Linked DNA regions of Macaca mulatta. The protein of the gene in region 2 binds, or shares a complex with, the protein of the main gene of each other region. Links are inferred from orthologs where the notes say so. Each region holds a gene or a part of one and is shown on either strand. Other genes may lie near its edges.

Region 1 (5,093 bases), on a different chromosome or scaffold from region 2:
TGACTAGAGAGCTGAAAGAAACCATAAACCAAACACTACAGGAATGCGCCCTTCTGGCTGGGGTTTTGTGGGAAAGGAGAGATTTGTGAGTTTTTGTGTTGAGAAGACTGGGATGGTTGGGATCTCTTGGTTTCTAAATCTGTTAAAAAGACCACCACCCACCACCTCATGAGTCCTATCCTGTCTTGTGGAATCAGAATTACTGAAGTGGAGCCCAGGCATTTTTTTAAAAAGTTCCCTTGGTGATTGTTTTCCTTAGCAAGTCTTGGGAAGTGCCTTCCAGATAGAGGAAATAGTTGGAGAAATATGGAAGTCAGCATAAGACATATGTGGAGAGCAGAGTGTAATCTGATTATTGATTTTAGCTGGAGTTGGGAGTGGATTAGGGAATATTGGGAGAGAGAAGGCTGTAAGGGTGATTTGAGCTGGCCTGTAGAAGGCCTTAGCTGCCAGGCCTGGGTGTGTAGACTTTATTTGGTAAATAAAGGGCAAGTGTGGAAGAGTTTTGTGTAGGGGATAAGCATGCTTTCTTGTGGCAGGGCAGGGGAGACTTGAGGGTGGGTGAGTGGTCAGAGGTGGGGACCCCCTTGTTGGGAAGTGATGCATGATCTCAGTTGCAGTATTTGAATTACTAGGGTACTAATGGTGGTCCTGGGAAGGAAGGGAGCAGAGCACAAAGGCTTTTCAAAGGAAGGGCATGTTGGATTTGCGAGGGATTGGTTGGGCAGGGTGGAAGACAGTCAGAGCTAGATCTTACTGTTCACTAATGTGGCACAAAGTGTTGGGTAAAGGACTATGGTGAGCAGATAGGATACTACTGGGAGACCACCTTGGATTCATCTTTGTTTCCTCTCTAGCCCATGGCACTTATATCTAGTCAGTTGCCTGTAGCTGGGTCAAGTGAGGTAGGGGGCCAGATCTCCATCATCAGAAGTGACTCATGGGAGTCAGTAAAACTTCTGGGGTTGGGGCCTTGGAGAGTCTCAAATGGTTGCTGTGGTTTTTCCTTTTATTTTTATAGATTTGGGGGATACCAGTACAGTTTTGCTACATGGATATAATGCATAGTGGTGAAGTCTAGGCTTTTAATGTAACCATGATCCAAATAGTGAACATTGTACCCAGTAGGTAATTTTTCAACCCTCTCTTGGTTGCTGTGGTTTTGGAGACAGGTTCATGGTGAAGCTGGCTGAAGAGACAGATGGGATAATTGTCTCCAATGACCAGTTCCGGGACCTGGCGGAGGAGTCTGAGAAGTGGATGGCAATCATCAGAGAACGGTGAGGGAGCCCTCCTGCTGAGAATTGGGCACAGATGCAGATGTTTTTCTAAAGCCAGCTCTGCTCTGGCCATGGGGTGAAAACTCTGGGAAGCAGGTGAAGTTTTCTTGAAGGATGGAGCCAGCAGCTTCTGGTGATACTGGTCTCAGTCGTCTGGGAGGTGGGCCAGGGCCCCCTCTGTGACCACATATCTTTCGCCATCCAGCCTGCTGCCCTTTACCTTTGTGGGAAACCTCTTCATGGTACCTGATGACCCACTGGGACGAAACGGCCCCACCCTGGATGAATTTCTGAAGAAGCCAGCCAGGTAATCCTTCCCCTAGACTACTTGCGGGCAGCCCCCACCCCTGGCCCTCTCTCAGCAGGCCCAGAGACTTGGGTGGAAGTGTGATCTCAGTTTGGGCAAAATTAAGTGTAATCTTAATTTTGCAGTGGTTTGAGTTGCCTTGGCCTTTATAAGCTTCCCAGGGGATCCTGACATAGAACCTCCTTGCTGGTAGGGAAACACCTGCTTCCTGTTTCTCTTAATCAGCATGTTTGATGGAGTTATTTGGAAAACGGTTGCTTATACTGAGATCCAGTTGTATTCAGCTTGCCTTCTACTGACCATTACATAAGTGATTCATTTAGGACTAGAACTATATCATAATAGTGGCAGAGCTCACCCTGGTTCCAAAAGAACGGCCCAGCTCCCCTTCAGAAGTGGGTTGATACTGCCACTCAGTGGTCAGCTTCAGGAACTTCAGGGTTTCTCCCCCAAAGCCAAGAATAGGCAGGACAATTAAGAGAGGGGTAGCCCACTAAGATCTAATTTCCCTCCAGGATGCTCATCAGCTCTTTTTGGTCTGTTTCTTCCTAGGACACAAGGGTCTTCTAAGGCTCAGCATCCTTCCAGGGGCTTTGCAGAACATGGTAAACAGCAGCACGGGAGAGAAGAGGAAAAAGGTAGTGGTGGCATTCGGAAGACCCGGGAAACAGAGCGGCTCCGGCGGCAGCTGCTGGAGGTGTTTTGGGGTCAGGATCACAAGGTGGACTTCATCCTGCAGCGGGAGCCATACTGCCGGGACATTAACCAACTGTCTGAGGCCCTGCTCAGTCTTAACTTTTGAGCCTCACCTGCTTGAGTGGTTGCCGCCCGGTCAGCTCCAGCCGCCTCCAGCTCAGCCCTTTCTGTGAGAGTCCCTCTGCTGCTCACACTCTGATCCAGAGGCACCCTGAGTTGATGCTTTGGATCAGGGAAGCCACTTTGGGACAGGTCCATAAAGTGACCTGATCTTACCGAGTGAGGACCTCAGCCAGCTCTCAAGAGGTTCTGCTCAGCCTTAACTTCTCAACTTTGCCTTAGCACAGGGTTTCTGTAGGGAGTAGGGGCTGCTGGAGAGGATTAGTTCTGGACACTGAGACTGTTGGCTCCACCTCCAAGCTGAGCTGGGGTGGAGGGCAGGGTGGGCGGGAACTGACAGGAAGTTAAGCTGTTCCTCTCTCTGGCTGCTGCTGTGGATGGCCAGAGGACAGGATACTCCCTGGCTGAGCTCCTGGGAGTGTGGAAGGAGACGCTGGGCCCTGGAAGGGCCACAGCGTTATGTGGATGGGGCCACGATAGAATGGAGTGAGCTAGTGAAGAAGGCAGAGGGAGACTTGGCTTCTGGTCTCAGCTATGCCTGTTTGTGACCTTGATTGAGTTGCTTGGGCTTTACTTCCGCCTACAAATCAGTGGTAAAAATACCTGTTGGGAGGAGAAATGAGAACATAGAGGAAAGCTTCTTGGAGAAAAGGTGCTTGGACCAAGTCTCAGGTGTGTCTGCCTGTGGCTGCACAGGCTCTCTAACCAAAACCTCACTTTCAGAGAGATGTGGGTCCTTTGTCTTCAGGGTCCACACCCTAGATTTTAACACTGCATTCTCACTATAACATGCCCTATAATGGCTGCATCCCTTTTGAGCAACCTCCAAAATCCACATTTATACAATAGGTAAATTAGGGATGACTGCATTATCAGAATACTCTCAGGGTTCCTATAAATGGCAGCTCTCCTGTTGTATTCAAGTGTTTGTTTACAGACTAACAAATTTGTTGGCAAATCCCTGGTTAGATGCACTTGCTGGTGTTGAGATGAACACGTCGATTTTTCACCAAATCGATGAAGCCATGCTCTGCAATGACAATATTAATGTGATCCAACCCTAACATTTTCTCTATGGAAGATATATGTTGCATAAAGTGAGGCACACTTCTGCTTTATGTATGTGTGTATGGGGATGGGAAGACTTAACGGAAGTTGAACCAGTTGGTTCTAGATGAACCAATTATCTGGAAAATGAAATAACCAGAGTTGGAAGGCACTTGACTGGCCACCAGACCAACTCTGCTGTCACTAACATGCTCTCTCCACCCTGATTCCTACAGGTCATTGCCCTTGGTCTGCTTGAAGTCCTCCTGTGCCAGGGAATTTACTATCTCCAAGGTAGCACATTCCCTGTGTAGACGGTATTAATCAGTACTCCTTCCTTTAGTGCAGCCTAAAGTATGCTTTTCTGTTACGTCTACCTTTGAGGCTGGTCATACCCCCAGGAACAATACAGAGCCAGTCAACTTCCTGGAATCCAAGACCAGATAAAGAAGTAGGACAGGTGCCCCTGGATTCTGTTCTATGTGGGCCCTGTGATGAGTCTCTGGATAAGATCTTTTCCAGGCCGTGACTTTTGCCTCCCTCTGAATGGCACAGGGAGTTGAATACTGCATGGAGAATGTAATGATGATGGGGAGGGTCCTTGGGTCCTTGTGTCCTCACCCCTCCCTTTTTGGTGATTTACACCACTGTACCATACTGACCCAGGCTGGGGGCAGGTGTGTTGGAGACAGGCTGGTCAAGGAGGTGACAGTGATTCAGAGATAACCCAGAGGTCCCTGAGAAGAAGAGACTGGTTAATATGGCCTGAACTGGTGGCTGGGGGAACTGTGTCTGATCAAGTTATGGCAGATGTCACAGCTTTAGGTAGGTAAAAAGGGTCTTAGATGAAAACTTGGGAGGTTTTTTTTTTCTCCGGATAGGGTTGTTTATAGTTCTTGATTGGTATCTTGCTCTTTTCACTTTCAGTGATGGTGGGTGTACAGTAGACCAAAAGTATCTTCTGCCCTTTTGTGCTAACGGCGCTGGTTGACTTGAGTGGCCCCAGTCAGATGAGAGGCAAGTCCTAAGCTTCTTATAGACAGGGATGTTGGCTTTGTTCTGCTGCAGCCTGATAAACTGGGACCACTGTGTGGTTAGTAATGCACTTGCCATTTGGTGACACAGACTGAAGTCTATCCTACACCTGGGCCTCACCTCTTCCTCTACTGGCATTCTAATGGCACTCTGACAGCATCCAGGGTGACTACAGGGCCCACTGGAAATGGATCATCATTCTGTCTTCTAGTGCCTACCTTTATCATAACCAGATGTCCCAAACTTGTGACAAGCTCTTTTGGCAACTGAAGGACCAAGAAGGGAGAGGGTGATGAGAGAGACTGCCCATTATAACTTTCAAAACCCCGTCTTGGGGGAAGAATCATCTAGGGTGACATTCCTTGAAGTAAATCGTAGGCGAATCTAGGCCAGAGAGATGAGCCAAGGTTAGTGAGATAATTTATCTTTATTGCCTAAACTGCAGAGCATTCTCTACACAGCATAAAGGAGAAGTGGGGCAGCTGCAGGACATGTAGAGAAACCCAACTAGGAAATCTTGCAAGGAGTTGAAAAGATTAATGTCCCAACCTGATGAGATTACAGCCTTGAGACAATAAGGTGGAGCAACAGAACAATGGGAAAGAGGA
Region 2 (5,093 bases):
TTAATTTATGGTCCTCAGTGCCATTTCTTTAAAAAAAAAAAAAAACCCAATATTTTAAAATTTCTAAAAAAATCACAATGACTCCCGTTCCCTCTTTTCCCCATCCCCTGGCAACTAACATTCTGCTTTCTGTTTGTATGAATTTGACAACCCTAGGTACCTCATATAAGTGGAGTCGTACAATATTTATCCTTTTCTGACTGGCTTATTTCACTTAGCAGGATGACCTCAGGGTTCATCCATGTTATAGCATATGTCAGAATGAATAATATTTCATTGTATGTATATAATTATATATTTTTTATTCATTCATCTGTCGATGGACATTTGGGTCATTTCCAGTTTGATTATTGTGAATAATGCTGCTGTAAATATGGTGCACAGAAGCCACTTTAAGACCCCGTTTTCAGTTCTTTGGGGGTGTATAATCTGAAGTAGAATTGCTGAATCACATGGTAATTCTATGTTTAAGTTTTTGAGGAATGATCATACCTTTTTTTGTAGCAGCTGTGTCATTTTTCATTTCTGCCAGCAATGCACACGGGTTCACATTTCTCACATCCTCTATCATTTCGTGTTTTCTGATTTTTTTTTTTTTTAAAATAATAGCCATCCTAAGGAGTATGAAGTGCTATTATTACTTTTTTTTTTTTTTCTTTTTTTGAGACAGTGTCTCACTCTGTCACCCAGGCTGGAGTTCAGTGGTGTGACCTCAGCTCACTGCAATGGCCGCCTCCTGGGTTCAAGTGATTCTTCTGCCTCAGTCTCCCAGGTAGCTGGGATTAGAAGTGCCTGCCACCATGCCCAGCTAATTTTTGTATTTTTAGTAGAGATAGGGTTTCAACATATTGGCCAAGCTGGTCTTGAACTCCTGACCTCAAGTGATCCACCCACCTTAGCCTCCCAAAGTGCTGGGATTCCAGGCATGAGCCACTGTGCCCAGCCAAGTGCTCCTATTTCTGAAGCATTTTCATATTATATAATGACATTCATTTTTAATGTCTTTATGAAGTGGATGTAGAAAAGGTGAATTTTATAAAGCAGATAGAATACATGATTCTAAGATTCTGTGCAAAGTAATGAACAATTAAATTTCCTTATATTTGGGAAATGGTTTATCATTTACAAGGGACTTTCACCCCAAATAAATATTTCATCATTGTTCCTCACAGTGAAACCACAAAGAAAGGCAGATATGTCATTTATTAGCCTTACTTAAGGGGGAAAAGAAACTGAGACTCAGAAATATTAAGAAACTTCTATTGCAAGCAGTCTCAGCTCATTTTTAGACGAATGAAGGATAATATAATGAAGAAATAAAAGGTAACATTTTCAAGACCTCACACCACTAGAAAGTAGCAGAGTGCATGTTCTGATCCCATATCTAATGTTTTTTCTCCCACACTACAGTGGCCTCGGAACAGGGGAACGTCTGGAGGGATGGGTTTTGGTGGTAGCTTCTCAATGTAAACTTACTGTGAATGAGAAAGATCTGTATATGTTTTCACTTCTAGTTAATCTCCCGAGTGAAGCCTTTTCTTGACAGGAGGAGGGTGTTTGCTTTTACTACATTACTGCTGCCCCCTGGGGTTTGGAAGAGAAAAAACGTCTCTTCTACCCCTTCTCCACACAAAAAACACAACTCACACACACACGAGCACACGTGCTCACCTCACATTCACACACCACACGTGCACATGTGCCTCAAACACAGACATGCGCGTCTTCCACATGTACCCCCAGCACACACACACACACACCCCACATAAACATCACACGCACGCACGCCACACACACACTCCACACGTGCTCACAAACACACCCTACTCCTTCCTTCCTCCCTGCTTCCAGGAGGGTGTGACCTGTCAAGTTTCTAGAGGGAGGCCAGTTCCCTCCAGGCCACACTGCTTTGTCGATGTTGACTTCTGATACACTTTGGCCTTATGGAGTGGGATGAAGAAAACTAGGAAAATTTCCGGCTTAAACAAAGTCAGGCCTTTAGACTGTGGTTTCATTTTCTGTTGGTTTGTTTGAAGCATTGTGAATCTGTCAATAGCCAGGTACACCCATATCACAATACGGGCAAAATTGAATGCTTTCTGGAAAATCTTCTCTGATTTGCCCTAATCTGTCTCTCTCCATTGACCACAGTGGTGAATGTTGACTCAGGACCAGGAGATAGTGGACAGCCCCACCTAAAAGTTTTGGGGTTTGGGGGCTACTTTGAGTCCCAGAAGAGAGCCTGGGTCTCACTATCATCCTAGGCCATGGAATGACGTGCTCTGCCGTGCAGGCAGAATGTCAGGATTCTTTCATCAACTGACACAGTCAGTGAGCACCTGTAGTCCCAGCTACTAAGGAGGCTGAGGCGGGAGGATCGCTGGAGCCCAGGTGTTCGAGGTTGCAGTGAGCTGTGGTCGGGCCACTGCATTCCAGCCTGGGCAACAGAGCAACACTCCATCTCTTAAAAAAAAAAAAAAATTTCCCGTCATTGTCAAACCACTCACCTTCAAGATTTTTACACGTCAAACCACCCATCTTCAAGATTTTTACACATCAGATTAGGCCAAGTAATTTGATAGCACTTGGATAGCAAGGCTGGAAAAGCAAAGAGGAGGAAGGGTGGTAGGAACTCAGTTACATTAACTCCAGTGTTCATTACTTTGTTTCATTTTGGCTTTTTCTCCCCTAGCTCCTTCTTCACATCGTAGAAACATGGCGTATAGGGCTAGAAGCAAAAGCCGAGATCGGTTCTTTCAGGGCAGCCAAGAATTTCTTGCGTCTGCTTCAGCGTCTGCTGAGAGGTCCTGCACGCCTAGTCCAGATCCGAGCAGCCACAGGGCTTCCCTGGAGGACACGCCTGTGGATGATCTCACCCACAAGTTCACGTATCTGGGGAGTCAGGATCGCGCTCGGCCTTCCTCAGGCTCGTCCAAGGCTACCGATCTCGGAGGAACAAGTCAGGCCGGAGCAAGCCGGAGGTTTTTAGAGAACGGCAGTCAAGAGGACCTCTTGCATGGAAATCCAGGCAACACTTACCTTGCTTCCAATTCAACACCAGCCCCCAAGTGGAAGAGCCCCACATCCTGGACGAACGACCAAGGCGCCAGGAGAAAGACCGTGTTTCCTCCCACGCTGCCTGCCGCCCTCTCTTCTCTTGGCTCTCTGCAAACACCTGAAGCTGTGACCACCAGAAAGGGCGCAGGCTTGCTTTCCTCAGACTACAGGAACATCAATGGCAAAAGTGGAACTCAGGACGTCCAGCCTGGCCCTCTTTTTAATAATAATGCTGATGGAGTGGCCACAGATACAACTTCTACCAGATCCTTAAATTACAAAAGCACAAGCAGCAGTCAGAGAGAAATATCAACACCTAGGACTCAGGATGCTGGACCTGCTTCCCGAGATGTTCAGGCCACTGGCAGAATCACAGATGATGCTGGCCCAAGAGTGGCACTTGTTAATGGTAAATACAAAGGGAAGAAACTTGGGGCTAGTGCATTTGTTCACGATACACCAAATGGCTCTAGTCAAGTGGCAGATAAAACTACTGACGTAGAAAAAACTGGTGCCACTGGTTTTGGCTTCACAATGGCAGTCATGGTGGAGAAAGATAAGTTACGTTCTGGAAGTCAGAGTCTGAGGAGCCTGGTCCCCACCACACCTGGGGAATCCACTGCCTCTGCACAAGTCAGCACTCTGCCTCAGTCACCTGCTGCGCTTTCCTCAAGCAACAGAGCTGCAGTATGGAGGGCCCAGGGGCAGAACTGCACCCAGGTTCCTGTTTCCCCTGCCAGTGAGCTCACAAGGAAGACAACAGGCTCTGCTCAGTGTAAGTCACTGAAGGACAAACGGGCCCCTGTGTCTTGAGTCTGCAGCAGAGTGGCTATGGCTGCTGGGTTTTCCTTGCATGTTCCCCAGTTCTTAAAGGGTAAAGAGTTAGAGGGTTTTGGTTAAGGGGTGGTCTGGTGAGGAGGTTGACTAGTGAAGACAGGGAACGACCAACCAGTAGAACCACAGGGAATAAGCTGCCACATTTATTGACAATAGGAATATTTCAACTATGATTTAAGAAATAAACACAACTTTCACAGGACTCTGAGGTCCACATTTTTGTTTTATGGAGGGGCTGTCTAGACACTCATGAGAAACACATAAATCATAGGAATTTTCTTGAACATGGCCTGCATTTCAGATATTCTTTCCCATTGTGAGACCAAGTGCCTTGATTTTTGGTTTAAACATTACGATCAGCATACATGCATCCTTTTTTGTTTCATAGATTCTTTATCTGATGTCACAAGTACCACATCTTCTAGGGTGGATGATCATGGCTCAAAGGAAATTTGTCTTGACCATCTGTATAAGGGTTGTCCGTTTAATGGTGAGTAACCTAAGGACTTTTCTGTAAGCTTCTACCTTTTGGCCATTGTAAATAACGCTGCTATGAACATGGGTGTGCAAATGTCTTCTCAAAACCTGGCTTTCAATTCTTTTAGATATATACACAGAAGTGGAGTTGGGGGATCATACAGTACTTCTTTTAATTTTTTTTTTTTTGCGGAACTTTTTTTTTTTTTTTTTTTTGAGACAGAGTCTCGCTCTGTCGCCCAGGCTGGAGTGCAGTGGCCGGATCTCAGCTCACTGCAAGCTCCGCCTCCCGGGTTCACGCCATTCTCCTGCCTCAGCCTCCCGAGTAGCTGGGACGACAGGCGCCCGCCACCTCGACCAGCTAGTTTTTTGTATTTTTTTGGTAGAGACGAGGTTTCACCGTGTTAGCTAGGCTGGTCTCGATCTCCTGACCTCGTGATCCACCCGTCTCGGCCTCCCAAAGTGCTGGGATTACAGGCTTGAGCCACCGTGCCCGGCCGCGGAACTATTTTTCATAGTGGCTGTACCATTTTTCTTTCCCACCAGCAATGCACAAGGGTTCACATTTCTCCACATCCTCACCAACACTTGTTCTTTTTGTGTGTATTTGTTTGCCTTTTTTGTTTGTTTGTTTGTTTTGAGACGAAGTCTCGTTCTGTCACCCAGGATGGAGTGCAGCGGTGCAATCTCAGCTCACTGCAACCTCTGCCCCCTGGGTTCAA

What was found. Proteins that work in one complex are often made in the same cells at the same time.
Region 1: the proteins of ZC3HAV1 (region 2) and KHNYN are in contact, whole or in part, in a crystal structure (PDB 9BGL), measured with the Homo sapiens proteins. The link is inferred for Macaca mulatta from reciprocal best matches to the Homo sapiens genes ZC3HAV1 and KHNYN. Residues at the interface, in NP_064504.2 of Homo sapiens: Glu5, Val6, Cys8, Phe9, Lys12, Ile13, Ala16, His17, Glu29, Ile30, Ala31, Leu32, Leu113, Glu115, Phe118, Ser127, Gly128, Leu129, Asn130, Glu133; in NP_001277186.1 of Homo sapiens: His651, Lys652, Asp654, Phe655, Gln658, Arg659, Pro661, Tyr662, Asn677, Phe678.

Annotation. Positions count from the first base shown.
Region 1 is NC_133412.1:97,557,328-97,562,420, forward strand, and holds part of KHNYN (protein KHNYN), read left to right. Parts: intron 1-1,168; exon of another isoform or gene 1,169-1,172; coding exon 1,173-1,280; intron 1,281-1,485; coding exon 1,486-1,587; intron 1,588-2,139; coding exon 2,140-2,389; 3' UTR 2,390-5,093.
Region 2 is NC_133408.1:178,910,468-178,915,560, reverse strand, and holds part of ZC3HAV1 (zinc finger CCCH-type antiviral protein 1), read left to right. Parts: intron 1-2,692; coding exon 2,693-3,832; intron 3,833-4,282; coding exon 4,283-4,384; intron 4,385-5,093.